4 linked regions of the Astyanax mexicanus genome follow. The protein of the gene in region 4 purifies or fractionates together with the protein of the main gene of each other region. This does not show direct contact. Links are inferred from orthologs where the notes say so. Each region holds a gene or a part of one and is shown on either strand. Other genes may lie near its edges. The genes, in order: kdr, mitochondrial chaperone BCS1, ubr2 and nrp1a.

Region 1 (7,596 bases), on a different chromosome or scaffold from region 4:
CATTCAGGAATTTATTAGTGTACAGAGTAAACAGTAAATTTGCCAGTCTTGAATCAACACTGATTTTGTTAAACAAACATTGTGAGTGTTGAAATGTAATTAAACACTGGCAAAGTTAATGTGTAGCGCCAATCTGGGTAATAGTTTGAAGGATATTTACTTAATGTGCTTCATGTCATCTTTTCTCATTACCATAGTAACATCATCTTTTAATTTGAACATCCATTGTACCGACATTTCTCATAACACATAGAACAATGTGACACAATCCAGAAGCTTCTCTGCACCAAATTTAAATTTTCTTATTTTGATTCATCTGACCACAGAACAGTTTTCGGGTTTGCCAATTTTAATGAGCTTTGACCCAGAAAAGACAGCAGTGCTTTTGTCAGAGGTCAGTGGCTTCTTCTTTGTATCAAACAGTTTCCACCTGCATTTGTATATTGCATGCTGAACCGTGTTTCTGGAGGTGTTCCTGAGCCCATGCAGTGATTTTCAGAAGAGAATCATGCCAGTTTTAATGCTGTTTTACCTGAGGACCTTAGGATCACCAGCATCCAATACTGATCCCTCTCCCTTGTCCCTTACACACAGATTCTCAGATTTTTCAATTATGATATGTACTGTACATGTTGGGATAATCAGGAATATCTTTAATTTTACATTGTGGAACTTTTTCATTAAAATTGTTTCACAAATTGTTGATGCATCTTTTTGCAGGTTGGTGAACCTCTCCCCATCCTTGCTTCTAAGAGTCTTTAACTCTCTAAAATGCTCTTTTTGTACCCATTCATGGGAGTTAGTCATGAATTGCTCCTATTGCAGCTGTTTTTATTAGGACCAGCTTTTTGTTGCCCTGTCCCAACTTTTTGGAGATGTGTTGCTCCCACACATTTTACGACAATTGGGAACTATACTATTTTCTGTTCTTTTTTACATGTATTTATATCATGAGGAATTCGATTTGGGGTTTGTATATTTTTATATTAATTAAATATACAAAGTATTGTAAGCAGAGCTGAACCCAAAACCTTACTATTTTCAGTACTCTTGCTTTGTATAATTCTCATTAATGCACATTTCTCCTTGTATCAGCAGCATAAATACACCATAAACTATACAGACTATAGCTGATAACAGCAGTAGTGAATCCGACTGCTTGAACTGGCCTGGTTCAGAATTCTGGGCCCATACAACTGAAATATTTCAAAGCACAAGTACTGATCTAAGACCAGCTTCCATCCATGTATTCTTCTAGAGACCTGAAGTCCACCTGATCCAGGACCAGCACTCTTGGAGAATTCTGGAGTGTGCAGTCTAAGCTCTGGGGCTATTTTTCCACTGGAGCAACAGCAGCAGTGCAGAGAACTGACTGTGTCAAAACAGGAAGCTGGGGCAGATGGGCCGGGGCCGGCCTAAATGGCCCCACGCTCCAAGCCCTGAGGTGGGGTTCCTGCTCCAGAGGAACCAGGGCAAGGGACAGCACACACACGCACACAAACATCGGCCCACAGCTACAATGAGCACACCCCACAGGGCCCCACTAATTCAAACATTTGATTTAAGAAGTGCTGAGATCTGATCTCAGAATTGTTGCTCACTGAGGTCATTTCAAACAACAATGCCAGTGTGGGAATGGCACCAGGTTCTGGGCAAAATGGTCACAAGTTTTAAAAAAAAAAAAAAAAGAAAGAAAAAAAGATGAAGGGCAAACGTTTAATATGAGCAGTCTGTCAGAACTAGCATTTGATCTTTATTATTTCTTTGATGACTTGTCATAAGAAATTATGTTTTCTACAATTAAATATTTTTATATTAACCTACAAATGTAATGTTAATGTATATATATATATTTATATATATAATATTTTGTATGTTTTTATACATAATTTTGATGTTCTCAAGCATTTTAAGACACTAGTCTGATACCCCTCCCTTCCTGAGCTGATTACAATTAAGCAGGAAAGAGTGGGTGCGATATATTTAGAGCTACTAAACACTTATTTATTTCTGAAAAAAAAATTGATGCACTAAATGTATTCGAACATAATAAAAAAATTAACATTTAACCAGAGAAAGGATATCGAACAAAATTTAATTAAGGTTTCATTAGTTTTGCCACTTTTCTCACCATAAAATACATAGACTATGTGTTTTTTTCCTTGCTTTTCAAATAAAACTTTATTGTTTGGTAATTATATATATAATTTTTATATATTATATTTATAATTCTATCTATTTAAACACACATCAAACACATATGAGTTTTTTTTTAAACTCTGTTGTTGTTTTTTTATTTATTTATATCTAGATATGTTGTTGCTTTTGTTTTTTTATTTTGTTTAAATCTAGATATTAGTGTTGTTTTTTTTATTAATTTAAATCTAGATATATTTTTTATTTAGATTTTTTACATCTATTCACTTACTGGTTTTGCTGTGTATTTTACTTTGAGTAAAATATTTATAATGAGTGGAACAATTATTAAAAATTACTTTTTGGATCTTTTTATATGGACTTTTACTTAAGAAGGGTTTTTACGTCTTTTCCAATGACAACAACATAAAAGACATAATAAACAAATCCGGGTCACTGCTTCATAATAAAACAATATGCAGTTATATTTATTAGATTTTAGGCTTTTGGTGGGTAAATAAATTATTATTATTATTTTTTAATATAAATCTGTATTGGTCTTACCTGTCACCCAGCTGACTGCAGAAATAATGCCCACCAGAGAGAGAAGTGAAAATGGCTTTGCCATGGTGCGACCACCCTGCCGGACTGTCCCCGCATCAAACCCCTCTTAGAAGTTCCCACAGGACGGCTATTCTCAGCTGCGCATCAGGACCCACAGCTCCACACTCACACACACACTCTCTCACACACACTGCTGTCCACACTCTCTCACACAGTCCTGTAGCGGAACCCGGAGATAATCCACTCAGCGATGCCCCGCGCACTGCAGGAGACCCGCGCGCTCCACACACACACTGAGGGAGCAGCACAGAGCGCGTGAGGAGGGAGATGATGGGGGGAGAGGGAGGGGCCGGTGACCCAGCCTCAGTCTCGAGCCTGGAAACGTGTGATAAACTGGACTGTGGGGAGTTTAGATCAGGTCTAGGAGTCAGGATGCGTCTTATCAAACACTAATTACCCCAGCACCTAAACCTATCAAGCAGTGAGTGATATCAGACCTGAACTGACCTGCACTCATAACAGTGATACTAGTGACTCTCACTACCAATAACAACAGACTCCTGTTCACAAAGCACAAATACACTGCCTGGCTAAAACAAGCAGGTGATCTGGTATTGTTGCAGTTGTTCAGGTCTGGGTTCAGTAACAGTATGTGCTGAAAGAATGAGGTCAGCTGACTACCTGGATATACTGAATATAGACCAGGTTATTCCATCAATGGATTTGTTCTTCCCTGATGACGAGGATATATTCCAAGATTACAATAACAGAATTCATGGGGCTGGAATTGTAGAAGAGTGGTTCAGGGAGCATGAGATCATCATTTTCACACATGGATTGTTCACCACAAGAAAAAGTGCAAAAGAAGCTTAATAAAAAACTCTGTTTACATCCCATAACACTAGCTTCAGCTCCGAGCGCCACCATCACTGAACTAAAAAATTACATAGACATAAATATACATAGACTTCGCATAGCCTGCCTCTTGGCGCCAGATGCTACGCTATGCGGAGCTGAAGCTAGCATTATAGGATGTAAACAGTAGTTTTTTAATAAGCTTCTTGTGCACTTTTTAAGTTATTAATGCATCATTTTAAATGTCAAGGTTCTCTGAATTCTGTCAAGGAGGTGTGGAGCTACTTTGAGGCTGGATAACAGTGGAAAAAGCGATTCATCGGGTCACCCGAGTCACCCAGTCTGAAGGGTGTTTGGACTGTGTATAGCTGGACAGAGCATCGTCTCTCAAAAGTGAAGCCACCACAGGTCGGGCGCCCCCTGCTGTTCGGTTTCAGAAAGCTGTGTAACCCCACCCATCCCCATAGGTTTCAATGGCAAAACAGACAACTTTCAATCACGTTTTTTTCTAATATACTGTATGTAACCCCTCCTACATCCCAGGCCAAAGGGACAGGGCCCCAAGTTCATTAATTAGACCTCTCCTGTAAATTTAGCTACCAACTGTAAATATGTCTTGAAGAAGTAAAAGACCTAGTCACAGGTAATTAAAGATATGTGGCTGCAATGAGTACTCCCAGTGAAGTTTATTGATGCACAAAAACAAAATGTATAAATGGGGATAAATAAAACTATACACACTAATGTGTAATTAGATCTGAAAATACCAATATAGGGAAAGAACTGATGTATTTCTTTTAAACCTTCTATAACCTAAATAACTTCAACTTAGGTAGACAATGCAGTGGACTCAATTAACATATTTAGTAATACTTGTTTAACAAAAAGAGGGGGAAAAAAAAAATACATTTATAAATAAATACAAAGAGCCGGCAGTAAATAAGAAATAAAATAAAAAAAACGTTGCAGGCCTGATACTGTTTCTGAACGGAGATGTTTACTCACAGTCACTCTTGACGAATTGACTCAGATTCATGACTCAGATTCTTGACTCAAATTCTTGACTCAGATTCTTGACTCAGAGCGGGTAGTTGGCCACTCTCCTCTACCTGAACAGGACTGAACTGAAGAATTCCCACGTTGCCGGAGGAACCACAGGTGCTTCCTGGCTGACCTGTGGCGCTATCCGGGGTAAAAGTGCTCCCACGAGGCACCCAGAGGAACCACGAGCGTTATCCTGGTAGCTCGTGGCGCTATCTGAGCGGCGAAAACACGCAGCTCCGCGTGGCTCGTCACTAAAGTTAAATCTCGTTACGGTTAGCCGGCTAGGCTAACTTACAAGCTATAAACAGAGTTAAAACTCATCTAATAGTGTTCAACAGCGAACTCTCTCAAAGAAAAACACTTCAGAAATACATACTCACTTAACTCATGGGTCACTCTGGACCCAAACTTTAACAAAACACCAAAAACGCCATAAAACATCCAGAGCTCCTGTATTTTTTCCCTCGTCCCTCTCTCTCTCCCTCTCTCTCCCTACACACACACACCGCTACTCCATTTCCCCGCCCCTTCAACCAATCAATGGAAAAGGAGGTAAGATTGGCAGGTAGATGACCCAATAAATGGACTCCCTAACCCTCTAAGGTGCTTGGGATGTAAGAACACTTTTCAAAATACTGTATAATTCAACGTAGAAAAAATATATATATTCTTATTACATTAAAAATCTTACACAAACTGCTACAATATTTCAGTACCATTCAACAACACCTATAAAACATTTTTTTTTCAGTAGTTAGATACATAGAAGCATGGAACTAAATATAGAACTGAATTATATTTGGGCTACACCCTCCCCCTTCTAAACGTCTGATGTCCTCATCTGACTTTTAAATTTTACTAGGCAGTTTCATTCGAGAGTCAACCGAACAGAAAAACAGGGGACAACTGAGGGTTCTACTGGGGGCGTGATATATATTCTCATCCCTCGGTGTACAATAACTAGAGGCTGGTCAGATGAACTCCCAAGCTCATCATAGCTCAGACGAATGACAGGTTTAACAGCTCTTTTACCCAAAGAGGGGTCACTGGGCATCATGTCTGGTTCGGTCTCCTGTTCCTCCAACAACTGTTGGTCACTGGTTGAGACCTCCATTGTATCAGAAACATCACAAAATTGCGATTCGGGTGCATTTTCCTCCCCTACAGACATAGGTATGTCTGGCTCCCCAGGGGGTTCTTCCTGTTCTGCAACTTCTGCATCGACAGGCTCACTTGCAAGATCGTGGCTCGGCCCCTCTGGCTGTAAGGATGGACTAGGAAAATGTTCAGAGAACTCAATAGGTCTGACATAAGGCATGTCCTCTTCCAAATCAGACTGCTCATTTTCTGTTTCAAAATGGCTCTCCGTGACTCTCGTTTGCTGCTGGCGACGTGTCCGAGCTTGTTGGTCCCCAAGGCTTGAATGTGAGTCTGCTATATCTGAAACATTTGGTAAACGCATCAGACAGCCAATGGGTAAAAGGTGGTCTCTGTGAAGTGTTCGGGGCACCCCTACTCCTCTCTCAGGTTTGACTCTGTACACAGGTATGTTAGGCATTTTTTCTACCACTGTATAAGGCACAGAATTCCACTTATCTTTCAACTTTTGTTTCCCAGTACTCCCTAAAGCACGGACCAGAACCCTGTCCCCCACCTCTATAGGAAGGTTGTGTACTTTGGCATCATAAGCCTTTTTGTTTTTGTCATGGCTCTTGTTAGAACACTCAACAGCCAGTTGGTATGCTCGACGCAGCTCTTCACGCAGCTTTTTCACGTACATCTCATGCTTGGCTTCCTCTTGCCCTCCCAAAGCAGTGCCAAAGCATACATCTATAGGTAAACGTGCTTCCCTACCAAACATTAAATAATAGGGAGAGTACCCCGTAGCATCATTACGGGTGGAATTATAAGCATGCACCATAAGTGCAACATGTTGACTCCATCTGTGCTTCAATTTTGGATCCAGGGTGCCCAGCATGGACAGCAGTGTGCGGTTGAAACGCTCTGGCTGGGGATCCCCTTGAGGGTGATAGGGAGATGTCCGGGATTTTTTTATACCCAGCAGGTCAAGTAGCTGCTTGATCAGGCGACTTTCAAAGTCACGCCCTTGGTCGGAATGGATACGGGCCGGCAGTCCATAGTGGACAAAGAACTTTTCTAACAGTACTTTGGCTACGGTAGGGGCCTTCTGATCCCGAGTAGGATAAGCCTGTGAGTATCTGGTGAAATGGTCTGTCACTATAAGGACATTAGCAATACCTTTAGAATCTGGCTCAACAGATAAAAAATCTATGCATACCAAATCAAGCGGGCCTTTACTAGAGAGCTGACCTAATGGTGCTGTTCTGCGGGGCAGAGTCTTTTGAGCTACACACCTGCCGCATGTTTTAATGTAGTTAACTATGTCCGATGCCATTCTGGGCCAATAAAACCGGTCTCTGACTAATTCAGTAGTCCTTTCAACTCCTAAATGGCCAAAGTCATCATGTAGAGAGCGTAGAACTGTATCCCTGTAAACTTTGGGAAGTACTAACTGGAAAATGTCATGCCCTCCTCTGTTGGTTCGCCGGTACAGGAGTCTATTTTTTAGCACAAGCTTCTGGAACTCACGTTTGAATAAGGGCATGTCTGGCATGTCACTCTGGAAACCCAGGGGCCACAGACCTCCATCTACAGCATTCCGGACCCTACTGATGACTGCATCAGCCTCTTGTGCTCTCCTCAAGTCCTCTCCACTCAGTTGCTCCAGTGAACTAACACCCAGTCTAGTGGGATAGGCATATAATTCTGGAATAGCATTAGGTGAGGCTCCTAACTGCTCTACATACCTGCTAGGCATGTCAACAGAAACATTCACCTTCTTACAGGAAGCTTTTACTGCGGCTGGGGAGATCCACCCCACATCATCGGTGGCATTTCGAGACAAAAGATCTGCATCAATATTCTCCCGTCCAGGCCTATACTGGATGCCAAAATCATATGTGGAGAGGGCAGCAA
Region 2 (7,869 bases), on a different chromosome or scaffold from region 4:
TAAAAATATAAAAAAATTAATTAATAAAATAAAATCTCTTTATATTGGATTCCAGTCAACATTAGATAGGGTTTGTTCTCTCCTGTAAAACCTGGTTCACACTACACAATTTTAATCTTGATTTGGTTGGAGTAAATCAACATTTGCTCTGCGCTGCCTAAGACGCTTTGTGTGAGCTGGTAAGGGATGCAATACAAATGACTGCAGATTGGTCTTTGATGCATTGCAAACTCCCAACAAATATCTAGCAGGTCTACTAGCAGGGCACTATCAATCATTTATTTACAGACAAACATTTTGAAAGAAAACATGGATCTTGCACATGGCACAACATGAGCTCTCCAAAAAATGTGATTCTGGAAAGTCATTGTGAGTTCCTCCACGTAAAAGATTGTGTACTTTATGACCCTTTGTCACTGATCATTCTTGCAGTGTGCAAATCACAACCACTACAGACAATAAGATCTGTAGTGAGAAAAGTGTCATGTAGTGTAAACCTGGCATAAGGTTTTCAATATGAACAATGTTTTTGCTGGATATAAAAAATACATATATATAGTTAAGGGTCAACTCACCTGTATGCATCAGCATGTGTCTTTTAAGGACTCTTTTGTGAGCAGTCACAAAGTTACACTCTTGGCATCTGTGAGTTTTCTCACTGGCATGAAAGTGGCCAACGTGCTGGTCATACTCAACTGGATTGAAAGTAGTAAAGGGACAGAAGCCACAGCTGAGCTTCTTGTCCCCTGCATGACCTTGTCTTCTGTGCTGCTGAAAACGGCTCTTGTTAGAGCATGTAAAGTCACACTGTGTGCAATGAAATGCCTGATGTGTTCGAAAATGCACCTCCATATCTTCCTTGCATCCAAACAAAGCATAGCATGCATGGTGACGACACTCCACAGCCTTGATTCTGTGCACATCCAACAGGTGCTTCTGAAGCAGCTTTTTCTCTGTGCATTGAAAGGAGCATCCCTGTTGAAAGCAGGGCAGAGGCTGCCCATCAAATGTCATGTGATGGGATTTCATATGGCCCTTTAACGCCTGACTTTGACTAAAGGTCTTTTGGCAGGTTGGGCATGTATACAGGTCTGTGGCATCTTTATCCTCTCCTGGATGCCCATGCACACTGATGAGATGGCGGCGCAGGGTGTTGCGTTCCACTGCACTGTACTCACACAAATGACAGCGGTGCAGCTTCTCACCAGACTCCCTTAGCATGTGGACACGAAGTTTGCTCTTGCTGGTGAAGTAGTGCTTGCAGGTGGGGCACTGCAGGCTGGGGTCAGGAAAGTGGATACGCATGTGCTCCATCAGATGAGAGCGGGTCTTAAAGCAGCGCCGGCATTCTGTACATATGTGAGTGCGAAACATGTGCTCTGTTCCCTCTTCCACGTGACCTGAATAACAATAAGAATAACAGGCAGGATTTTAAAAGTTCTTCAGTCTAGTACACCCTAAATACCTATTTAACGAAACAGAGGTTTAATGGATAGAGCAAAACAATTGATAAAATTAAAGATTAAAGAAATGAAAATAGAACTGAATTGTTTTCTCACCTTGGACTGAGTGTACAGATGTTTCCCCCTTAAGAACAGAAGCTTTATCTCTTTTACTTTCATATTTCCGTCTTTGAGGTTGAGGATTTTTAAATTTTGTTACTTTGTTTTCAGCTGAAGTATGCTTCAGAACTGTTCTCCTTTTCTCTCTTTTTGTCTTTTGAGTTCTAAATTGATATTCATCATGAACACTGTCTTGCATTGCAGATTTGTCTTGGTTACAAACTGCTAAATAAAAAAAACACAAATGTAGTTAGAAACAAAAATATTTTAGGAAACAATTACATAACGGTTTTATGTAAAAAGCCTTTGCTTTTAAACACAGCAGGATACCACTGTTGATAGTCTCATACTAACATCATGTTTACATAAAAAAAAGGTACAGTGACCAAAATGAAATGTCTGCAAAACTTTATAATGAAATTCTAATAATGTTTAACTCTGTAGCAATCAAAACTCAACATGTATCTAATGTTGAAGCTTGATGTCACAATCTTGATTGTTTTTGACAGTAATGTGACTTTGATTTCAAACCACAATTTAACACCTGTACAATGTTTGGAATTGGAATGTCTACCAGATTTTCATTGACAACTAAACTTCACTTTTCCAACATTAAAGTCCAAATCTTTCTGATATCAAACTGGTGTCCAGTGCAAGCTGGGGATGTTTATTTGCCTTAATAAGAATATTTAAATTGTAGATGACTAACCCCCGTTTTTTACAGATTTCTTATGCTTACTGTCATTGCTTAGCTCTTGTTCCTCCATCCTGCTCCAATGGTAAAAGCCCAGTTGGTAAATCCTTTGAGAAGTGAGTGAGGTGGATTAGTGCATCTTCGTATGCCTGGCTAAACCATCACCTGCCTTGGAAGGATGAAGTATCAGTAATTCACGTCTACCTCAGCTGCCCTACATATAAATAAAAGATATTCCAACTGAAAAATATTATTCAAACCTGGAAAAAAAAAACATAAAGGAAGACAAAAGATTAAATTAGCTGCATTCGAATTTCATTCAATCATTTATCAAAAACAGAAACAAACCCAGATAGCAAAATGATGTGTAATCATCCCTAATTTTCCATTGCTAGTGCAGTAAAATAATGTTGATCTTTGATGTCAGAATTATTTAATTTATGCACAATGATTTTACGTTGAGTCAACTTTGATTTAACATTGTGGTTTTATATGTATGGTTTGTATTAAGCTATATTTACATTAAATATGTATAAATTGTTTGCATTTTATTCTTATAGTCTGTACTGTGGTTTTGCAGTGTAGAAAAAGACATTCAAATAATAATTATTAACCGGGTCATGCCCTTGCTCTCTCTAGGGCAATACTAGTGAAAAGGGGAGTCCTAATAAGTGGGTTGGGTAATTGGCTATATATTATATATAATAAGTTATGATCTGTGGGAAGCACCTATACATAAACGCTGGACTTCTTTCAGTCAGTTAACCATTCAAATGCTTTAATGAAATGTTTTATGTTCATATAACTAGTTCTCACATGATTTTCTTAGAACAAATTGTTAAAATAAAAGTTATGAAATTTGTGTTGTGTAATTATAATCTTAAAATATTTAGTCATGTGGTATCAATAAGAGAAAAACATGAATGTGCTGCTTACTTACTTTATCTGATTAAATTTTGAATTTGACATCAATATTTAGAAATGGTCTGGGCTCTTATGAGTGAAATTTACAAATAGCTACATTTTAAAAACAGTTTTAACCTGAGAAATTTACTAAAAACACGCTGAAATATTGTTATTAAAATCAAAACATAATTATGACCGACTGCCTGCAGGTTTCAGAAGATTCCACTCTGAAAAACAGCGCATTTTCAGGCTAATCTAGCGCCTAAACAGTCACTCACTCTATTTAACATAATCTGCGGTTCTTAAAAGTTGAGCTTTTAACAGTGTAGCACTAATCTAACTAACACCAAAAATTCGCCCCATTATGTTTTAATTTACTCACATTAATCGCACTTGCAGTGATACAGAGTGAGAAATGTCGTGCGAGCGGCGCCCTCTGTTTTCGTTATTAGCTAGTAGTTAACCTACAAAACTAGCATAGACGACGCAGCGCTGTTGATAAAAAAATAGTAAACGCAATTTTCACATTTAGCTTGAGTGTTACATTTAAAGCACCTTTTTTTACATTTGTGTGTCACGTCTATTAACCTATTTTTTTTGTTTTTGGCTCATTTTAGCATGTAACCCGGAACTGTTTTGGTGGTCCTGGTTTCTACGGGAAAACGTTCCCCAGAACACCTACAGTGTCATTGCGCTGGCCATGTGAGACCACAGAGCTTGTAGAGAGGAGAATACCCACTTAAGAATGTCTTTCGGGCTCATATGGAGCAACTGATAGAAAAAAAATCAGGCGTTCTCTGCATATGCGAGTGCGAAAGATGTGCTTTATTCCCTCTCCCATGCAATCTACATATCAAGAAAAAAATAGGCGTGGTCTTTTTTTAATAAATCAGAGGATTGTTTACCAAATCAAAATCTAATGGAAGACTACAGTACTCTCAAAATAAATAAAAAGAACTGAAGTGCTTGCTTAGCTTGCGCTGAGTGTACATATGTTTCCCTTATAAGAACAGAAGCTTTGGGTTTTTTACTTAGATTTTTCTGTTTTTAAGGCTGAGGGTTCTGAACATCTGTTTCTTTGTTTTTAGATGAAGGATTGACATTCATCATGAACACTGTATTGTTCAGTTACAAACTGCTGAATACAAAAAAAAAAACATTAATAGGCCTTTGCTTGTAAATACAGCTGGCCACGAATGTTAATATTCACATACAAACTTTATGTTTATATAAAATACCAATAGGGACAATGACAGAAATTCAAAGTTTGCAAAAAATTATAATGAAATTCTAACACTGCTTAACCTTGAAGCAATCAAAACTTTTCTTAAAGCTTTTAAACTCTAGTAAACTCATGTTATAAGCCATTTAAACGCCACTCTTGAGGATCAGCTTACCAACCACTCTCAGTGCTTACAGTAGCAGTAATGCTAGCGGGTCTGCTGTCAAAAAATCGTTTTCTGTATAAAATGGACGTATGCAGGTAAGTTTTCTTTACTTTGTTATCGAAATAATTACTTCCACTTTCTAACTTAAAAGGAATATCCTGGAAAAGTTGTTAGTTACTCATTTTTATTAGAGTTTTAAGCCGTTTAGATTCATTCATCACCATTCATTAAAGACTAACTCGCGGGCTCCCTCTAGCGGTTTGTATTAATTTTCTGATTAACGGGGGAACTGAACAGTGGGTAGGCTCTCCATATACCAGCTCTGGTGATCCGTCCTGGCCCTATGGTCTGCTCAGTGCCTGTATGGGGACACTAAAGCACTGAAATCACTTGATTTAGCAGCAGTTATGGATTTATGTGGAAGTACTACATTACCTAAACCATGAGATGGACACGATCAAGTTATGTGTCCATACTGTTAGTTAGGTAAGTAATGCAGCTTGGGTTCTCCTTTAGACTCCATTCAATGACAGGATAGGAGAATAACTGGTAAGCTAGGCTAGCTATGTAAACCAGAGCTGGTTAATCATCATCATCTGGATATGTTCAGAGCTATTTCTGTGACTGATAGATAAATTCTGGAGATAAATGAATAGCTATATGTGTGATCTCTCTCTTGTTTTGCAGATTTCATTAAAGGAGGGACAGTTGGACTGATGGTGCTTGATTAAGGACACACTTAAGTAACTAGTGCATCCAGAAAATGACCCTTTCCGATTTCCTTGGGGCTTTGAAGGACAACCCCTACTTTGGGGCAGGCTTTGGGTTGGTTGGTGTGGGCACAGCTCTTGCAGTTGCCAGGAAGGGGGCACAGATAGGCATGATCTTCTTCAGGAGGCATTACATGATCACTTTAGAGGTTCCCAGCAAAGATAAGAGTTACCACTGGTTGTTGAGCTGGATTACCAAACATGCCAAGCATACACAGCATCTGAGTGTGGAGACTTCATACATGCAGCATGAGAGTGGACGGGTGCACACACATTTTGACTTCCACCCAAGTCCTGGAAACCACATCATTTGGTGAGACACTACATTAACGTACCTTATACAGTTCTTAAATGGAAATGGAGATTACACTGTACAGGAGTTAATTGTTGGACACAGCTTTGAGACTATCATAATTGTGGGACATCCCAGTTGCAAAAATTAATTTCATGGAGGTACCCCCGGACCTGGGCAATACTAAACTCACTATTACAAACTGTACAGCGGGCAAGACTTTAGTTGTTTTTTTTTTTTTTTTTACTTTTATGGAAAAAAATATTTTTTAGATAAGTCAGAGGAGAAATGAGTTTGGATGGGAGCCATGATGCTCCTTCTCTTACTCATTGAACGCGTCCCGTCCAGGAGGGGGAAAAAAAACATTGCCTGCCCACACTAAAAACCCTCTCTGTTTTGCATGCACTTTGTGAATGTGCACACAAGGGGAACACTTTTCTCTTTCTCTCCTTTTTTTTCACATGCGCCATTGGAAAAAAGTCTATGTCACCTGCATGTGCATTTGTGCTCACTCTTGGGCCACTCTTTCTAGATTCCAGGAGATCTTATGTGACTTCAGGAAGCTGTTCGTATTCGTAATATGCGGTAGACTCCCGCAACTTCAGGGAGACTTGGGAAGTCATGACTATATAAATATACAAAACAATAAACAAATCATAGACTTTTTTTAAAGTTGTATTTATTTAGACAATTGAATAAAGCATCAAATATGCCATTTTAGATGACACTCTTATCCAGAGTGACTTTCATGGTTATTCCTCTTACAGAGGTGGGTCAATGTAGTGTTAGGAGTCTGCCTCAGTGAGGCAGTGATCCTGCACTGACTCTTATTGGTGTAGCGCAGCATTCAGTCACCCAGAGTGGGAATTGAACCCCAATCTCCCACATGTTGTGGTAGCTCATTGGCAGGAGGTGGGGTTGTTATTCACTGCGCCATACCAACCACAAACAAGTCAACATTAAACCTCCCAATTAGTCATTTTATTAAGCCTAATTACTGAACCAGTCTAGTGGCAACAGTGAAAATAATGTGACTCTTTCAATCAGTGACCCTGTGTTTTTATGTGTTCATTGTTTGGACAAAAAAATAATTAAATATGTGCAATCACTTTACTGCAGGTATGGGCGTAAGTGGATAAGGGTGGAGAGGACCAGGGAGAAACAGATGGTGAATCTGAACACAGGAGTACCTTGGGAATCTGTCACGTTTACTGCCCTTGGCCGAAACAGGCAGATATTTTTTAATATACTGCAAGAAGGTAGGTTGATCAGCAGTCACAACATGTACCTTAGCTGCATCAAGTTTTAGAAAATCATACATTAGGATTCTAATTCATAAAAGTTGTCTATTGTTGAATAATTTTAAGAAAAATGAGAAAGTTTATGGATTTGTTTCTTGCTTGCTTGTGTAGCTCGAGAGCTGGCTCTAAAGCAGGAGGAGGGTCGGACAGTGATGTATACTGCTATGGGAGCAGAATGGAGGCCGTTTGGCTTCCCCCGCCGCCGCCGACCATTATCCTCTGTTGTCCTGGAGGCTGGGGTGGCCGAGAGGCTTGTGGATGATGTAAAGGAATTCATCAGTAATCCAAAGTGGTATACTGACAGAGGTACAGTTTAACAATCTGTGAGATATGATTCTTAAAGTTTTAAAAAATATTTCTTGTTTCAGTTTTCATTTTTGTTTGTTTGTCTTTTGTTTTAGGAATTCCATACAGAAGGGGGTATCTATTGTACGGACCTCCAGGATGTGGAAAAAGCAGCTTCATGTAAGACCAGTAAAAATGTTTTTATCTTAGTATAAATTATTCATTTTTCTACAATTACTGCAGAACATTACTGTATACAGAACATGTACTGTATAATGTCAGCATGTAATAATACATAATAAAGAGGCAAAATAATGTGCAGTATAAAATAAGAAGAAGTGGTTAAAAATGATGCAATTGTTTTAATAAAAATGAACTTTAACTTGGATTACAAGTATTTGTGTTTATAGAAGTATTGTGTATGCTTGTGTGCAGAACAGCACTGGCTGGGGAACTGGGCTACAGCATCTGTTTGATGAGTCTTAGTGATCGCAGTCTGTCAGATGACCGATTGAACCACCTGCTGAGTGTGGCTCCACAACAGAGTATCATTCTTCTGGAGGATGTAGATGCTGCTTTTGTCAGTCGGGAGCTGCGGCCCACTGAGAGTATGACCTCAGTAACTTTTATTACTGATTACACAATCTCCTATTTAGATAGATAGATACTTT
Region 3 (7,922 bases), on a different chromosome or scaffold from region 4:
TGTATTGGCACAGGGTTAGAAGTGTTTCACTCCTTGGAGCGACACTCTTAGAGCACACAGACCCACTTAATGCAGTGAAGAAAGTCAGGTTCATCCTACATAAAAACTTAGGACCAACAGGGGTGATCTAGGAACTAAATTCAGATCATACTGTCGGTTTAAACTTCTGAACTCTAGATATAAGCACTCATTCTCTCAGAACTAGTGGCCGCTAATTTGGTAACACCATAGACATACACATGACATACACAGACAGAGTTCTGTTGGTAATTGTCCAGTAAATAATGTATACATCACATAATAGCATATTGTTCATTACATTTTAGAGGGTTTACTTAACTACTTAGATTTCATTTCCGTGGCAAAGGCATTACATGCGCAAAGGGATTACATGGGTAAATGGAACTTGGCACTTTCTGACCTACTAACCTGGATTAGACTCACAAAGCCTACAGTTGGTCCTCTTTTCATTTCTGAGATTTGTTTTCATGTGCCATTTTCTGCCATGACACAGTATGATAGCTAAAAGTTCCAATACAGATTGCTTTAGAGGTTAAGCTGTACTGCAGACAATAGAAGACTACAGTATACATGCTGTGTTTCTGCCTCCTGATAACAGCCAACATGCCAAAGTGACCAACACCTGTACTGCCACATACAAACAACCATCACTGAATCTTCCAACTACAGAACTTCTGAACTCACCCAGTATTAGTAGTTAGTAAATTCTGGTCATTATTTTGAACAAGCTGTAGATGAAGGTCCTGGACAGACAACATTGTCAGCTAGATATACAATAGTCTATCTGGTGCCAAACAGTAAACAAATCTGAATTACAAAAGTGCATGGGAACCTTTCTTAGACCACAGCAAAAGTTTTTCATTTTTCTCTTTTAAACCTGGAAGGTATGTGGAAGACTGTGCAGCTCTAAGCAACATGTAAACATAGCTAAACATCCTGGACAATTCTGATCAGAACATTTCATTCATAGCAATAACGTCTAGGAGAAAAGGGATTATTATGACAGATTTCGATAGAAGGGCTGCAATGATTAGGCTAGTCGATATAGTCAACAATGTCGATTATTTAAATTTGTCAACTACAAATTTCATTGTCGACTAATCGTTAATTTCTAACAGTACTGCATTACACAAAGTGCTGGGGACAGAAGCGCATTGGGAGATGGGTAAATGACTCACTCACACAGTTTACACTCAACTTAGTCTGTGTCTCCAAAAGTGCCCAAAAACAACAGATTACATATTTACTCACTAAATAATCAGTACTTTCCATGTTTAAACAACATCTGATTGTTTACATGCTTTTTAAATCTCATGTTTACCTTTTTCGATCATTTTTTTATAGATGGAGGACATAGGAAAAAGAATTGTTGACTAATCGACTAATCAAAAAAATAATCGTCAGATTTGTCGACTACCAAAATAATCATTGGTTGCGGCCCTATGTATACATTTAAAGCATTTTAGCTTTTAGCTACCTACCCTACTCTAGTTTATTATATTGTAACCCTCATTACATAATCAACCCATAAGAGCACCGACACAGTTCTGAATATTGATACTAATTTTTTTTCTCTTAATGTACTAAAAATAGCACAACTGTAAACATGTTAAGGTCAAATCCCTGATGTAAGAATCATTTTAACAGTAGTAGCAGTGTGTACTAATTTTACTCAGGTCTAAGTAACAGCGTGTTCTATTACTAAAATTATTTTTAAGGAAATCAGTGTAAAAAGGATTTTTGTAAGGACATTTGGCCCATTCATTATGACATTCTGACACAATTAAAAGAACAACTGTTTTCAGCCATTCAGTCACAACTGAGGGTGAAATTTGCCTTACTGTGTTGCAAATACTAGCTACTTGTACCAGGGTGTTTTAGAAAATGTATACAAACTAATTATATGGACGGTAGTTAAAACATTTCATTAAAGCATTTGAATTGAGCTGTGGAAGCTAAAAACAATATTTTAAAAGGATATAGTTTTATCTGCAGCACTAACCCATCAATCCTACATCCTGTAGTTAAATAAGATCAGCAACATGTGTCACTTAGGGAATTTGCTAGTTAGCTAGTTAGTTAGTTTTTTTAAGTTAAAATGACGGACAGAATGCATTAAGGATCTTTACACATCTTTTAAAGGGTCTGTGACTTATAGATAACCGAACTATTTATGTAACGAGGGGCTGTTTTTGGTTAAATTCTTCTTGTAAGTAGTTAGATTAGCTATCAGCGAACCTAACTACATAACCTAGTTAACTAACTCGGTTATATTGCTGTCTATTTGTTCATATTTATTCTATTTGAGTTTTTATTGGTCACTTTTGCATCTTTGTGTAGGGAAGATAGTAAACTTAGCAAGTTTTAGCTATGTAAGCTACTGTAACAGTCTAATAATATGTAGCTTTTTAATATATAACCTAAACCTAAGGCAGTTTGCAATGCTGGACGAAAACAACCAAATAAAAACACCCTCACCATTAGCTACAAAACAACACTACATTTAGCTAACGTACGGGTCTCAAAAATAAAAACAGTTAAATATTAAACACTTAAATACGTAGCTAACTGCACTGCCAACCCACAATTAAGTGGCTGTTGCTGTTTAGTTTGTTAGCTAGCTACTTATCTAGCCAGTTATTCACCAAGAAAGCCAGTAAAGCTTCTGTAGAGGCTGTAGCTGTAGCTATAGCTAACCCTGTGTTAGCGTTAGCTTAGCGACAGCGGCTGCTATTCTGAGGAAAACAACCCGAGTGGAAAAAAACGCCTCAGTCACCGCGGAAAAAGGAATAACCGCTTTTCTCCCACACCCCGTCCAAAAATACAGCAGTTTAGCATCTATTTTATAAAACTGTCCCCTACCGCAGCGGTGTCCTTCGCTGAGAATTGAAGAAATTCGCTGCAGAGAGCGGACGGGACTTCACGATCAGTTTCAGCCGCCGCCATCTTCACACTTCACTGCTGGAGCTCGGGCAAAGGAAACGGAAATCAGCCGTTCGCCCAACTTCCGAAAAGAAACGGGTCAACTTTTCTTAGCTGACAAATAATAACACCCAACATAATGGTCTGCTGTTTCTTCTTTGTTGACACACAACTAAGCACTGCGTCCTGAGTCCTAAATTAATATGTAATATGATGTTGGCCTACACAACATAAACCCTCACATAGGCTCTATCCCATTTCTCTTGTGTATCCCTACCCCTTATTTTCGAGAGTAAAATCATCTATAAATAACCCTTTAAGAACCTGATACACCTAGCTTGTAACAATCCTCCCCTTAGAATTGGGACAACCAAACAGATATAGATATATATAGCTCTGGAAAAAAATTAAGACACCACTGATGTAGTTTCTCAATCAGTTTATTTGATTTGTGTAAAATGCACATTTTGGTTTTATTCTGGCTGAAAATACAATAAAAAAATCAGAGCTTTCAGACCTCAAATAACGCAAAGAAAACAAGTTAATATTCATAAAGAAATCAATATTTGGTGGAATAACCCTGGTATTTAAGCACAGTTTTCATTCATCCTGGCATGTTCTCCTCCTCCAGTCTTATACACTGCTTTTGGATAACTTTATTCCACTCCTGTTTAGCTTTGTTTGATGGTTAAAGTGATCATCCATCTTCCTCTTGATTATGTACCAGAGGGTTTCAATTTGGTAAAATCATCTGTTTTGAGGGCTAAGTGATAGAAATAATGCCAAACTCTTTGGTTAGCTATATGCTAAATTAAACAAATACTAATAATAGCTAATAATTAGGTCATAAACATTTAATGAATCCATCAATTTTAGCTAAGCAGCTATAAGCAGTGTTATTTATGAGACAAATGTTATATTTTTTTTATCTGGATTGTTTACCCTGTATGAGGGAAATTTGCCTGTGTTTTGTTCAGTGCTTGGTTTGGGCCCAATCCCATTTCACCCCTTGGCCCTACCACTTAGCCTTTTCCCTCAGTTTTGGTAGGATACGGTGTCCCAAATCTTGTTAGGCTGGAGGGCTAGGGGTAAGTGTTAAGCTTACATGACCCTTTAAACTGATATTTTAAAACACAAAACAAAGGGTTATAAGAATTATTGGCAAGATGATGGCAGAAGCGACCAAAGAAATCCAGAAATTTGAATATTTTCCTAGTAGTTTCGCTAGTAGTTTGTCTCAATAGCTAACTAGCGAGCAAACCTTCCCATTCCACCCTTAATGGTGCAACAGACAATGGAGGAAGAAAAAAAGCTAATTTCAGTTCCCCTCACAGATGAATTAAGACAGGCCCTCTTTCTGAAGACATTCCCTAAAATTTACTAACTAACCAGCAGCTGTGGCTGAACTTTACTACTATTCATCAGCCCGGCAGGATTGCTTATAGGTTCTTGAAAGGTTGTCCCAATTCTTAGGGGGAGGATTTGTCCCCTTTCTTTTGTAACCTTTTTCTAAGGGGAAGAGGTGCAAAAGAAAAACAGGATTGGACCTTTAGTGTGGCTGTTTTTCACTTTTCTAAGGCCGTTTTTTTAAACCTGAAGGTCCTGACCAGAATCCGTACTAAGGGTCATGTGTTAAAATGTGTACATTTAGTCCGGTTAGTTTTGGTTTTATACTGCAGTTTAGTGACTGAGCGGAATAAAGAACTTTACTACGTTCCGTCATCAGCAGCTACGGGATGGAGTCTTTTTATACTTCATATTGATTGGTTTGTAGAATGTTAGTTATGAGTTTGGTGCGTTAATCTGCCAGGTGTTGTGACGAATTCTAGCTCTCTGTTAGAATCCGACTCCCCTTCTCATACCTGCACCCCCGCAGCATGTGTGTAAAATGAGTGTAAAAGATTATCCTCAGATTTCTTTTATTTCTGTTTAGAAATAAGGTTAAATCTACTGTTATAGTAAATAAATGAATTTCCAGTCTAAATGTTTAGGTCCATACTGCGGTGTGATGCAAGGAGAGTCAGATTTTGGCACAACACCAATTATTTTTTCCCTCTGGTTTGTTTAAAGACTTCTTCTACTTTCTGTAATTGCCCCCGAAAGTCCAATCTATCTAGAAAAGTATTTCAGACTGCAGGCAAACTACTTTTTTCTTCAGACCAAAAATTGCTTCTTTGGTTCTGCCCACATTTACACCCGCTACTTTAGTTCAGAAACAAACTGTCCAAAAAAATTCATTAAAAAAAAAAGTTACATTTTGGATGAAAGTTAAAGTTAAAAATAACTTATTTCTATACATAGAAATTCCAACCTTACATAAATGTCTTTTATACTAAAGAAAGACGTCTTTTTACTACCTTTCACTTTCAACCAAATTGTAGCAAAATGTAAATGTAGTTTTACCAAAAAGCTCTGACGTACACTGTCTGGCCAAAAAAAAGTCTCCACCTGGATTTAACTAAGCAAATGATCTGGTGATGCTGCAGTTGGTCTGCAGGTTTAGGTTCAGCAACAGTATGTGCTGAAAAAATGAGATCAGCTGACTACCTGAATATACTGAATACAGACCAGGTTATTCCATTAATGGATTTGTTCTTCCCTGACGGCATGGGCATATGCCAAGATGACAATGCCAGGATTCATGAGGCTGGAATTGTGAAAGAGTGATTCAAGGAGCATAATGGATTGTTCACCACAGAATTCAGATCTTAACCTCATTGAAAATATTTGGGATGTGCTGGAGAAGACTTTGTGCAGCGGTCAGACTCTACCATCATCAATGCTGCTGCAAGATCTTGGTGAAATATTAGTGCAACTCTGGATTGAAATAAATCTTGTGACATTGCAGAAGCTTACTGAAACAATGTCACAGTGAATGCATCTTGCAATCAAAGCTAAAAGTGTTCCTAAATATTAGAGTGTGTGACCTTTTTTTTGGTGGTGACTTTTTCTTCAGTCTTTTTATAGTCCTGGAGGGAAGCTTGCTTTGATGCATGTGAATTCAGCCACTACCTCTTTTCAATCCTGCGTCACTAGGCACCCTCTCAGAGGAAAGTGCTAAATTCCCAACTCTGATACATCAGCCATGGTCTGTTGTGTTCTCTCTAAGTCTGGTTGCTGGTACCAAAAAAGCAGCTAAATCTGCTGTGCTGCACACTTTTTATGTTTACCTTGCTTCCAATATACCCAATCTAGCTAATCATCGCATTAACAAGCTTGTTGTTTTGAAGGTAAAGACAATAAAACCACTAAAATGTGCAGAAACCCCAACTTTAGTGACTTTAAGTCCAGATTCTAACATGACCAACAAGATGTCTTCCAAAATCAGTAAAAAAAAAAAAACATAAATAAATAGACTATATTTTTCAGCCAGGAAAACTAAGAAAAGTAAGAAAAGTGTTACAAATGTTCAAGAAAAGTTGAGCTTTTTTTTTTGCTATAAAACCATTTTTATTAAATTAAATATTGCTACAAATGTCATGTACAGGTTCATGTACCACCATCATGTCTTAACATGTTTCTTTTTAAAAAGAAATACTTTTTATTCATAGAAATTTTGTTTTGTTTACAGTTTATCAATAGGTCTAACACACAGGTGCCTCACACAATCAGTCAGCTATTTTTGCTAGCTGTTTTAGCAACTTTTTAATGTTTTCTTGATTTTCTTGATTTTAACTTTATGGAATTGCCTCCCAAGCTGTTGACAGAAGCAACAATTGTTTGCATGTTATTACACATCACTTATATAATACAATACGATTATATTCAATGTGTTCATGAATATAGATCCCACAACTTGACTTTGACCTGATTTCTATATAGCCATAATAAACTTCCAAACTAACTAACGTCCCACCTACAAGAGCAGTTCTGAAACCTTTGAAACATTTGGAAAAACACAAAGTTTTTTATGTTTCTTTATGGAAAGGATTATTACACAGTTCTAGTTGTTAAATTTTAAATTCAATTAAACTCTTACATTGAGAGTCTTTTAATAGGCCACCTACACTTAGGGTCTTATACTAGCAATCTATAGTGCATGGGTCAATTAAAAGCGTGTCATTGTGTCTTTGGTATTGTAAGGGCACATTCACACTGTGAAGGTACGCCAGCAGCTTATTTTTGGGAACAGCAATGTTATTTTATTCTTTATTCTGTTTATTGTTGATTTGTGCACTGTAGCTAGTTTATTTGTGTGTGTGTAAGGAGCAGGGATGTACACAAGCTGAGCGTGAACAGCACTCCTGCATGGCTAAGACAGGATTGGACGGATGAGTGTTGACTGTTGTCAGGGTTTTAATCAGTCAGTGGCGCACCTGTATTTCCCGCCGCCAAGATAGAAACACAACAGATATTTTCCTGAACAGGCGTCACTTTCAAATTAGCACGCCCATCAGTGTAGATATATTTCTAAACTTCAACACTTGCAAGATAGCAACGAGCATCGGAACACAGCAGGGGAAGGTGTACGACAGGTGCCATTAGTGTACATACAGTAGGTTGTTGTCTATGGAAGTTATGAAAAATGTCCCGGAAATGTCTTGGACATTGATTTTCTAAACTGAGGAAGACATTTGAAGAGCAGTGGGGCATTCATATTAGACAGTCCTCACTTTTACACCAGGCAATTCACCACAGAATCAGCACTGCATTCAAATACATGACCAGAATACCATCTGTACCAGTATTCAACCATTATCCAAATGTGGTTGGATTTGTACCACACACATCAGTCTGGTTTAAGGAAGACTCCTTATTTCTCATATTTAAAAGCAAACATAGTTCACTCGTCCATTCTCTACAATCCTGTAGTTGTTGAAGATGTGCTCGGAACATCAGCAGCAGCTGTAAACATAATAAGCACAAATGTGAGAGATTTATTATTTGGGGTAAGTAAAAATCTTTTTGCTGAATTTGCCAAGCCATTCACTTAATATGTAAAAGGAAGTGAGGAAGACATCACTTCACCGTTCTAATCT
Region 4 (7,203 bases):
CAAAAAGAACAAATCAATATGTTATTTTCTTGTAAGATATGTAAACTTTACAGGAGACTATATTCCAAGTCGCCTTGATGCATGGTGGTTAGTCTAATCATTATACAAGTTGAGTAGAATAAAGGCCTATTTCCTGATTCATTTAAATATGGAAAAGTGGTAGAAATCAGGTTTGGACATTGAAATTAAGGGAAAGCGTTTCCCATCTTAAACTGGAGAGCAATATTACAAGCTTTTGCGCACATATTGATGTTTTAAGATCTAATAATGAAGAAATATAAAATATGGGCTCACCTGCTCTTCCAGGCAAGGGGCTACGGACAGGTTTAGATTATGGGCTGCTATTTTAGGGCTTTATACAGCGCACGGGGATCCTGGATCCTGGACGAGCAGGTGACCAGGAGCTAACCTGAGCATTCCCCACCTTCAGTAACCCACAGATACACACTGTGCGCTATGCGCTACACCTAATATAACGAAAAACAATGGTTTGGAAGCAGGTATAAAGAAAACTTACCGTTTTTGAAAGCCCTCACGATCTCCAACACTCCCAGTAAGCCCACCAGCGCTAATCCACAACAACGCATCCTCGGTCCGGGCGATTCAAAACTGGACCAGAACCAGAAAATGTCCCACACCAAAAAAAAATCAGGAAAAATAGAAAATCCTCAGAGATCAATATTCCCGGATTCTGGATCAGAAATCAAGCTCGTGTCACAAAGAGATAGATAGTGTTGCTGTTGTGTTCAGGTCTCTGTCATTCCCTGCTCATCCCGCCGCTCAGCTCCTTTCTCCGCGCGCCTCATCCAGCCCAGCTCCTCGCTCCAGCTCCGGGGCTGCCATGTCCCTCACGCGCTCACCACGCACCCATACACACGCTCTCTCTCACACACACTCAATCGCACGCGCATGCATACACAGCCTGGTACACACACACACAGACAGACAGAAAGGATACACACACACACACAAAGAGAGAGATAATAAGTATCGCGTGCAGAACTTTAATCCTCGTCCACAATAAAGAAGACACCGAGCACAGTGAGCGCGAGCCGGAGTCACACACACAGTGAGTGTGTGTCTAACAGAGAGTGAGAACAGAGGGTGTGTATGTGTGTATCTAAGAGAGAGAGAGAGAGAGAGAGAGATGGAGCTCCTGCGCGCTCGCGCTCTGGCTGCAGAATGAGTGTGTGTGTGTGAGTGAGCGCTGTTTAAGACTCGGAGTGTGACAGCAGAGGAAGGAGCTGCCGCGCGCGCGCGCGCACACACACACACACCGCAGACAATCCAACACACAGACTTAAACAGGGAGACACCCCCTCACACACACACAACTACTGCTGGCACAGAGAGAGGTATAGGGATATTGACATTCTCTCTCTTAGTTTACTAGTTTCTCACTCGTTTCTCTCAATTTCTCAGTTTTCTCATTTTTTCCACAATCTAATATTTATTTTTATGCCTATTTCTCATCCTATTTCTCTGTTTATCTCTCTTTTCAGTGTGCGTTCTTCTATTATAACGCTCACACTTTCTCTTCTATTTCTCTTCCAGTATCTCACTTCCTCTCTCTTCTGTTCATTTCTCATCTCTTTCTGCTTCTCTGTTTATCTCTCTCTCTTCTATGTGCTTGCGTCTTTTATAACTCTCTGTCTCTTGCTCTACTATTTCTCTTATAATATCTCACTCTCAATCTCTTTTCTGTTCATGTCTCTACTTTCTCGGTTTATCTCTTTCTGTTTCTCTGTTTCCTTTTATCTAATTCATTTTTCTATTTCTCACCATATGTCTCTGTTTATCTCTCTTCTGTGTGCTTGCTTTTTTTCTAACTCTCTCTCTCTCTTTGCTTTTCAATTTTTCTTTTAGTATATCTCGCTCAGTCTCTTTTCTGTTTATTTGTGTTATATCTGTTATAGTCTTTTATTTGTTCTCTATCCCCATTAAGCTTTCTTTCTCGTTATCTCTGTCTTTCTCTTATTTACTTCTCTTAATGTCTCAATCTCCATCTCTCTGACTCTATCTTATGTTTACATCTTTTTTCTGTTATCCCTCTAGCTCCTTCTCTCTCTCTGTCTTCTGTTTATCTTTCTTCTTTAAATGTTCTCATTCCCACTCTCTTTCCATCTCTCTCTCCTCTATGTGTTTTCAATTGTGCTTTCTCGCTAAACCTCTCTCTCTCTCTCTCTCTCTCTCTCTCTGGGCTATTGTTGCCTACTTTTAAACCGTCAGATGACAGACCATACACACACACCTGAGGGGTAGCACACTGCTGCTGTAGCGCTGTAGAACCTACAGTACACACACTGCTTCACTAGGGAAACTGAAACTACTGAATGGAACCGGCCCGTGTGTTTGTGTGGTGTGTGTGCGCGCGCGCGTGTCTCTTGCGCTTTATCATGCACGCGCGTAGCCAGCAGTCTAGCAGGAGTCAGACTGCAGGTTTGAGGTCTGAGACTGAAATACAGTAGACTGTAATATAAAACAGGCGGTCTCGTGATGTGACACGAGCCTACTACATCCACTCCCACTCAGTCACACCAGAGACAAACACCGCCAAATGTCAACACAGACACATACCCACGCGCCGCTGCTCTGTCCACCCCGTGCCAATAAATCAATCCTCACCTGCCTCTGGATCCAGTGTGTAAATCCAGTGATGTCCAGAGTGTCTCGGGGTCCAGCTGCTGATGCTGCTGTTGCTGATGGGGGTCGTGGTGCTCTGCTGTTGCTGCTGCTGCTGTGGTGAAGGAAGGCTGTATAATCCAAAAAAAACTCCGCGTGAGGAGCGTTCCTCTAATGCACGCTCTCTCTCTCTCTCTCTCTCTCTCTCTCTCTCTCTTCTCTCTCACACACACACACACACAAACCACACTCTCCCTACACACTCCTCCAGCGCGTGAGTGAGCTGTGCCAGGTGTGTCTTCCCACGGTCGCTCACTCTTTATTAACTTCAGACACATCCAGCAGTAGAGGCTCGCTGGTGGGCTCTGCCCAGCCCAGGAGGAGAGAGAGAGAGTGAGAGAGAGACCTAGAGAATAAACAGAGAGAGAGATCTGCTTACTATTGATACTAAGAATATAAACGTGCTCACAGAATATGAGTGAAAAAAAACTAAAATTATTATTATTATTATTATTATTATTATTATTATTATTATTATTATTATTATTATTATCAAAGCTTGCTTCTAAAACTCAGTTCACACGATCTGTTATCACATCTGTTGTCCGGTAGCTAGGCGGGCACTAGGATGTCTCGCCCCACCCACATCTCCCAAGCCACGCCCACCAATGCTGTAAATGGCTAAACACAGTCAATGCAATTGGTTAGTCGTTTATGTTCGAAATCAACCCGCCCAACAGGAGGGATTACAATCAGCCAATCGCAGCTAAGCAAATGAAATACGCCTAGCCAATCGCAGCGCGGTGGGCGTGGCCTTCAGGATCTCCAGTGTGGAGAAAACAGCAAGGCAGAGCTGAGCCAGTGTGAGGCTCGTCTCTCTATGCGCGAGAGCTCGCTATCCAGTCTCAGCTATTCACTGAAAGGAGTTTATTTATATGCACGTGTTTAAACGTGAAAAGTTTGAAAAAAAAAACAAACGTATGATGAAAAAAAACCCCAACATTTAAAAGGGCTGAGGCATGCAGCTCCTGCTTCTGCTGTTCAGGATGCAGCAGGAATAATACAGAAGCAGGAATGATGTGCACTGGTCAGAATTCAGACCTGCATTTGCTAACTGTCCTCAGAGCAATGAGCTGAGACTGACAAATCAATGTGGACAACATCTCAATACCACTGAGATAGCAAAGAAGCACCCTCATGCATGCCTGATCTTACCTGGACTGTGCATTTTAATATTCCACTTACAGACCACATAACAGTGTTAGTGTTAGTGTTATAACGGTTCATATGCGTGTGTGTGTTTAGTGTAGGCTATATAGTTAGTGTAAGTTACCTACAGGTAATGTATGCAAAGGTGATTTAAGGGGGATTTTACCTTTCTTAAGTGAAAGACAGCAACAGCAGCCAGAGCAGCACAGTTCATCATCACCAAACCGCTCACAGCCAGCAGAGAGAGTGGAGGATGGAGGAGAGAGAGAGAGAGAGAGAGAGAGAGAGAGAGAGAGAGAAAAAAAATAAGAGAGACGGTCCCTCCTCCAGGTGGAGTACTACTCTAGTGGACAGTCAGTTAGCACTGCCTGGACTCCTTCCTGCAACCCAGTAAACAACATGACAGTTTTATATAAAGCCCATCATTTCTATCAATACTGTAACAGTCAGTAAACATTGTTAAGGCCATGCAAAAAACCTTGTAAACTGCATTTTTAGAAGAAGAAAATACATTTATTTCAATAAAAACAAATGCTTAAAACAACTGGCAGTTTTAAATTCACATTATATCAAAATTTGTTACCAGCATGAATATAATACGATACAAAATATAATATGGGTTGTTATCTGGAAGTTATTTTTTATGTTCTTTGCAGTTTTTTTTTTTTTTTTTTTAGAAAAGGGCCAATGGAAAAGTTGAAAACAAAAAAAATCATTTTTACACAGTTTTTTCCCTTCTCCTGTAAAGTTAACATTTTGAATATACAAAGTTTTTGGGAAAGGGTTAATAAGCTTCTAAAATTGGTCAAGTTTTCAACTTGCTATTGAAAACATGTTCCTGCGCTTCATGTCCTAATTCTTATCCTTTTTTATATATATTTTTTTCTGTCCCAACATATATTTTAGACCTATAGAACAATAAAACCAATAAAAATGCTACAGAAGGACACGGATCACTTCCTTTGAAAGTTAAGTGCCTTTCTTGTGAAGTTGCTATTTTCTGTGTACACATTTGTTTGTGTGACAGTGACAGAAATTTTAGATGTTATTTCATTTCAAATAGGCTGAAATACAGAGAAAACAACAACAAATTCTCCTTCTGTCCACATATTTATTTATTTAAATGACAAATCAAAGAGCATTTGAATGCATGAATGTTTTAACTAGTTAATGGTTCTTCTCTTACATATGCCTCTCTTATAATACTTATAATAATAGTATTTTTAGAAGGGCTTTTAAACCTGGTCTCATCCAGCCTCATTTGGCAAGGCAAAGGCAACAGTTACAGAAGAACTCCCTCAGAGCAGGAGGAACAACCCTCAAAGGGGCCAAGCAAGACTCAAGAGTAGAACATACCCTTCACTGATCAACACCAGATATCACAACAAGAACTCCAAGAGAGCAGGTCTAATTACAGGATAGAAGTACAGTAATGGAGAGTAAAGTACAGAGGACTGACTGACTAATGTGAAAGGCAGCCATGATCTATGTAGAGGAACCGAGAATGGGAATAAATGCAGGACACATGCTCAGTGTGCTATAAGGTGAATGAGGTTAAACAGTGGTGGACCTCATTAAGGCTGAGTAGTCATATACATACACACACAGAGACATGCTGCATCATGTAGTTTTTAACCATGAACTCTTAAGGTGTGGAGTAAAAACATCTACAATTTTATTTGTGAATGATTATAAAAGTGAGAGAGCTTCTATGGGACATGGCAAACCATGGGACAAAATTCTAGTTACTGTCTCATAACAATTGGCATTTCAGTGTATAAAACTATCTTTTTCCTTTTTTGCTTTATAATGAACTAAAAAATAAAAATCCTACAAAATGATACAAAATACAGTTTATTTACATAGACTTTCCTTGAAAGGTACTGTTCAGGAAAATATTTGGAAACATATCTAAACTCTGTCCCCAATTTAATTATTTATGGTTCCTGTTTATTTATTAATATGCAATGATGCTCTTTATTTATTTAGTACATTATCAATTATTCATTCATTCATTCATTCAGTTTAATGCATGAATGAATGAATGAATGAATGAATCAAGCAGATGTTTCTTCAATGACAGATTTAACCCCTTATGCTCCATGATTTTATTACACAACACATCCAGCATTACAAACTGGCTGATGATAAAAAAGCTGTGGTTTTGCAGAATTTAAGAGGTTAAATTTGTCACATTTATTGCAGAGTAACAAACAAAAGCCTTATTTCTTTCAAATGTCTCCTTCAGTAAGCTTGATTGTTGATAGCCAGTCCTAAGTCCTAAGTGCTTATCCATGTTTTTCTTGAAGAAAGACAGTTTCTGGTTTGTGGTTGATGTTTCACTGGACTAGCTGACCCCTCAGGTTATCTGTTACTGTCTCAATATGTGGCGAGTTCATGTCGCTGACCTTTGTGTTTCTGCACCCAGGAAATACAAAAGCTGTAGTCAGCATTCAGCATGTGCTCTTCAGGGACGTGTCTGAAGACTTCAAAAGATATGATGATCAGATCTTCCTCTGTTTCCTCTGTTTGTCAAAGGGCTGTTTTCAATTTATAACTAGAAGGGGCAGATGTCCCTCTCTCTGAGAGTGAAAAACACACTTAAAGGGGGCAAAACAATGACCCCTCAACTCACCAGGGATAAGGGACTTCAATAGAGGTGAAAACCCAAATTTAGACTTTTCACAGATGACAACTTGATCACCCCACATGCTTTTACTTTGATTTGATTGCAAAGAGCACTTCAATTTGAGCGTCTCTGTCACTAGCCAGTAATGAAATGTTTCCTGAACAAAGGAACACATTCGTTTATGACCAATCACTATTGGTAATTACACTCGTTTTAAAGATAGGCAGTGGTAGAGAGAGCAAAAGAGAGAGAGAGAATATAGTATAGGGCTTTCCATCAGGGTCTGGAAGGAGAGTGATGTCTCTGGAGGGTAATATGAATATGGAACAATAGGGCTGAGTAATTTCACAAGGTCTACCGCAGCCATATCTGAAATGACGGTGATTGTGCAGGAACAATGTGCGGCCCATTTAAAGGATTTGTTCCTGCATATCCTGAGTAATCTTTAATACATTCCTGTGGAATAATTAGCTGTGAACAAAAGTGCTTCATGCCACTGAGAGCCACCCTGTTGGTTTTCTTAATTTGGCTTTCCTTTTATTTCGCAAAGTTGCCACCCAAAAAGCAAAGCCCACGTTAATTCATTCAGCACAAGCCTTCCATACAACATTCATTTTATTTATTAATCAGTGCTTTGCTTGTAATTTTCCCCTTAACAGCCTATTTTTCAGCGTTCCAGACAACTAGTGCAACTTCATATAATAACAGTCATATTTCCTGGCCAGGCCTCTCCAAAATGAAAG

Evidence for each region.
Region 1: the proteins of nrp1a (region 4) and kdr purify together in Homo sapiens (affinity purification with western blotting; 7 studies listed by BioGRID and IntAct, with this or other methods). This does not show direct contact. The link is inferred for Astyanax mexicanus from reciprocal best matches to the Homo sapiens genes NRP1 and KDR.
Region 2: the proteins of nrp1a (region 4) and mitochondrial chaperone BCS1 purify together in Homo sapiens (affinity purification with mass spectrometry; 3 studies listed by BioGRID and IntAct, counting the BioPlex papers as one, with this or other methods). This does not show direct contact. The link is inferred for Astyanax mexicanus from reciprocal best matches to the Homo sapiens genes NRP1 and BCS1L.
Region 3: the proteins of nrp1a (region 4) and ubr2 purify together in Homo sapiens (affinity purification with mass spectrometry; 3 studies listed by BioGRID and IntAct, counting the BioPlex papers as one, with this or other methods). This does not show direct contact. The link is inferred for Astyanax mexicanus from reciprocal best matches to the Homo sapiens genes NRP1 and UBR2.

What each region holds. Positions count from the first base shown.
Region 1 is NC_064408.1:64,162,328-64,169,923, reverse strand, and holds the start of kdr (vascular endothelial growth factor receptor 2), read right to left. Parts: upstream 3,022-7,596; 5' UTR 2,765-3,021; coding exon 2,701-2,764; intron 1-2,700. UniProt on the Homo sapiens protein: Tyrosine-protein kinase that acts as a cell-surface receptor for VEGFA, VEGFC and VEGFD. Plays an essential role in the regulation of angiogenesis, vascular development, vascular permeability, and embryonic hematopoiesis.
Region 2 is NC_064418.1:38,080,801-38,088,669, reverse strand, and holds the start of mitochondrial chaperone BCS1, read left to right. Parts: upstream 1-4,859; 5' UTR 4,860-5,036; intron 5,037-5,237; 5' UTR 5,238-5,313; coding exon 5,314-5,633; intron 5,634-6,731; coding exon 6,732-6,871; intron 6,872-7,024; coding exon 7,025-7,219; intron 7,220-7,314; coding exon 7,315-7,378; intron 7,379-7,633; coding exon 7,634-7,806; intron 7,807-7,869. Other genes in the region: znf142 (zinc finger protein 142), read right to left, coding at 576-1,400, 1,560-1,787, 2,302-2,329. UniProt on the Homo sapiens protein: Chaperone necessary for the incorporation of Rieske iron-sulfur protein UQCRFS1 into the mitochondrial respiratory chain complex III.
Region 3 is NC_064414.1:19,519,091-19,527,012, reverse strand, and holds the start of ubr2 (E3 ubiquitin-protein ligase UBR2), read right to left. Parts: upstream 3,017-7,922; 5' UTR 2,968-3,016; coding exon 2,884-2,967; intron 1-2,883. Other genes in the region: si:ch73-193i2.2 (transient receptor potential cation channel subfamily V member 6), read right to left, coding at 7,742-7,788. UniProt on the Homo sapiens protein: E3 ubiquitin-protein ligase which is a component of the N-end rule pathway.
Region 4 is NC_064413.1:44,998,576-45,005,778, forward strand, and holds the start of nrp1a (neuropilin-1a), read right to left. Parts: upstream 3,029-7,203; 5' UTR 2,626-3,028; intron 1,191-2,625; exon of another isoform or gene 923-1,190; 5' UTR 588-922; coding exon 518-587; intron 1-517. UniProt on the Homo sapiens protein: Cell-surface receptor involved in the development of the cardiovascular system, in angiogenesis, in the formation of certain neuronal circuits and in organogenesis outside the nervous system. Mediates the chemorepulsant activity of semaphorins.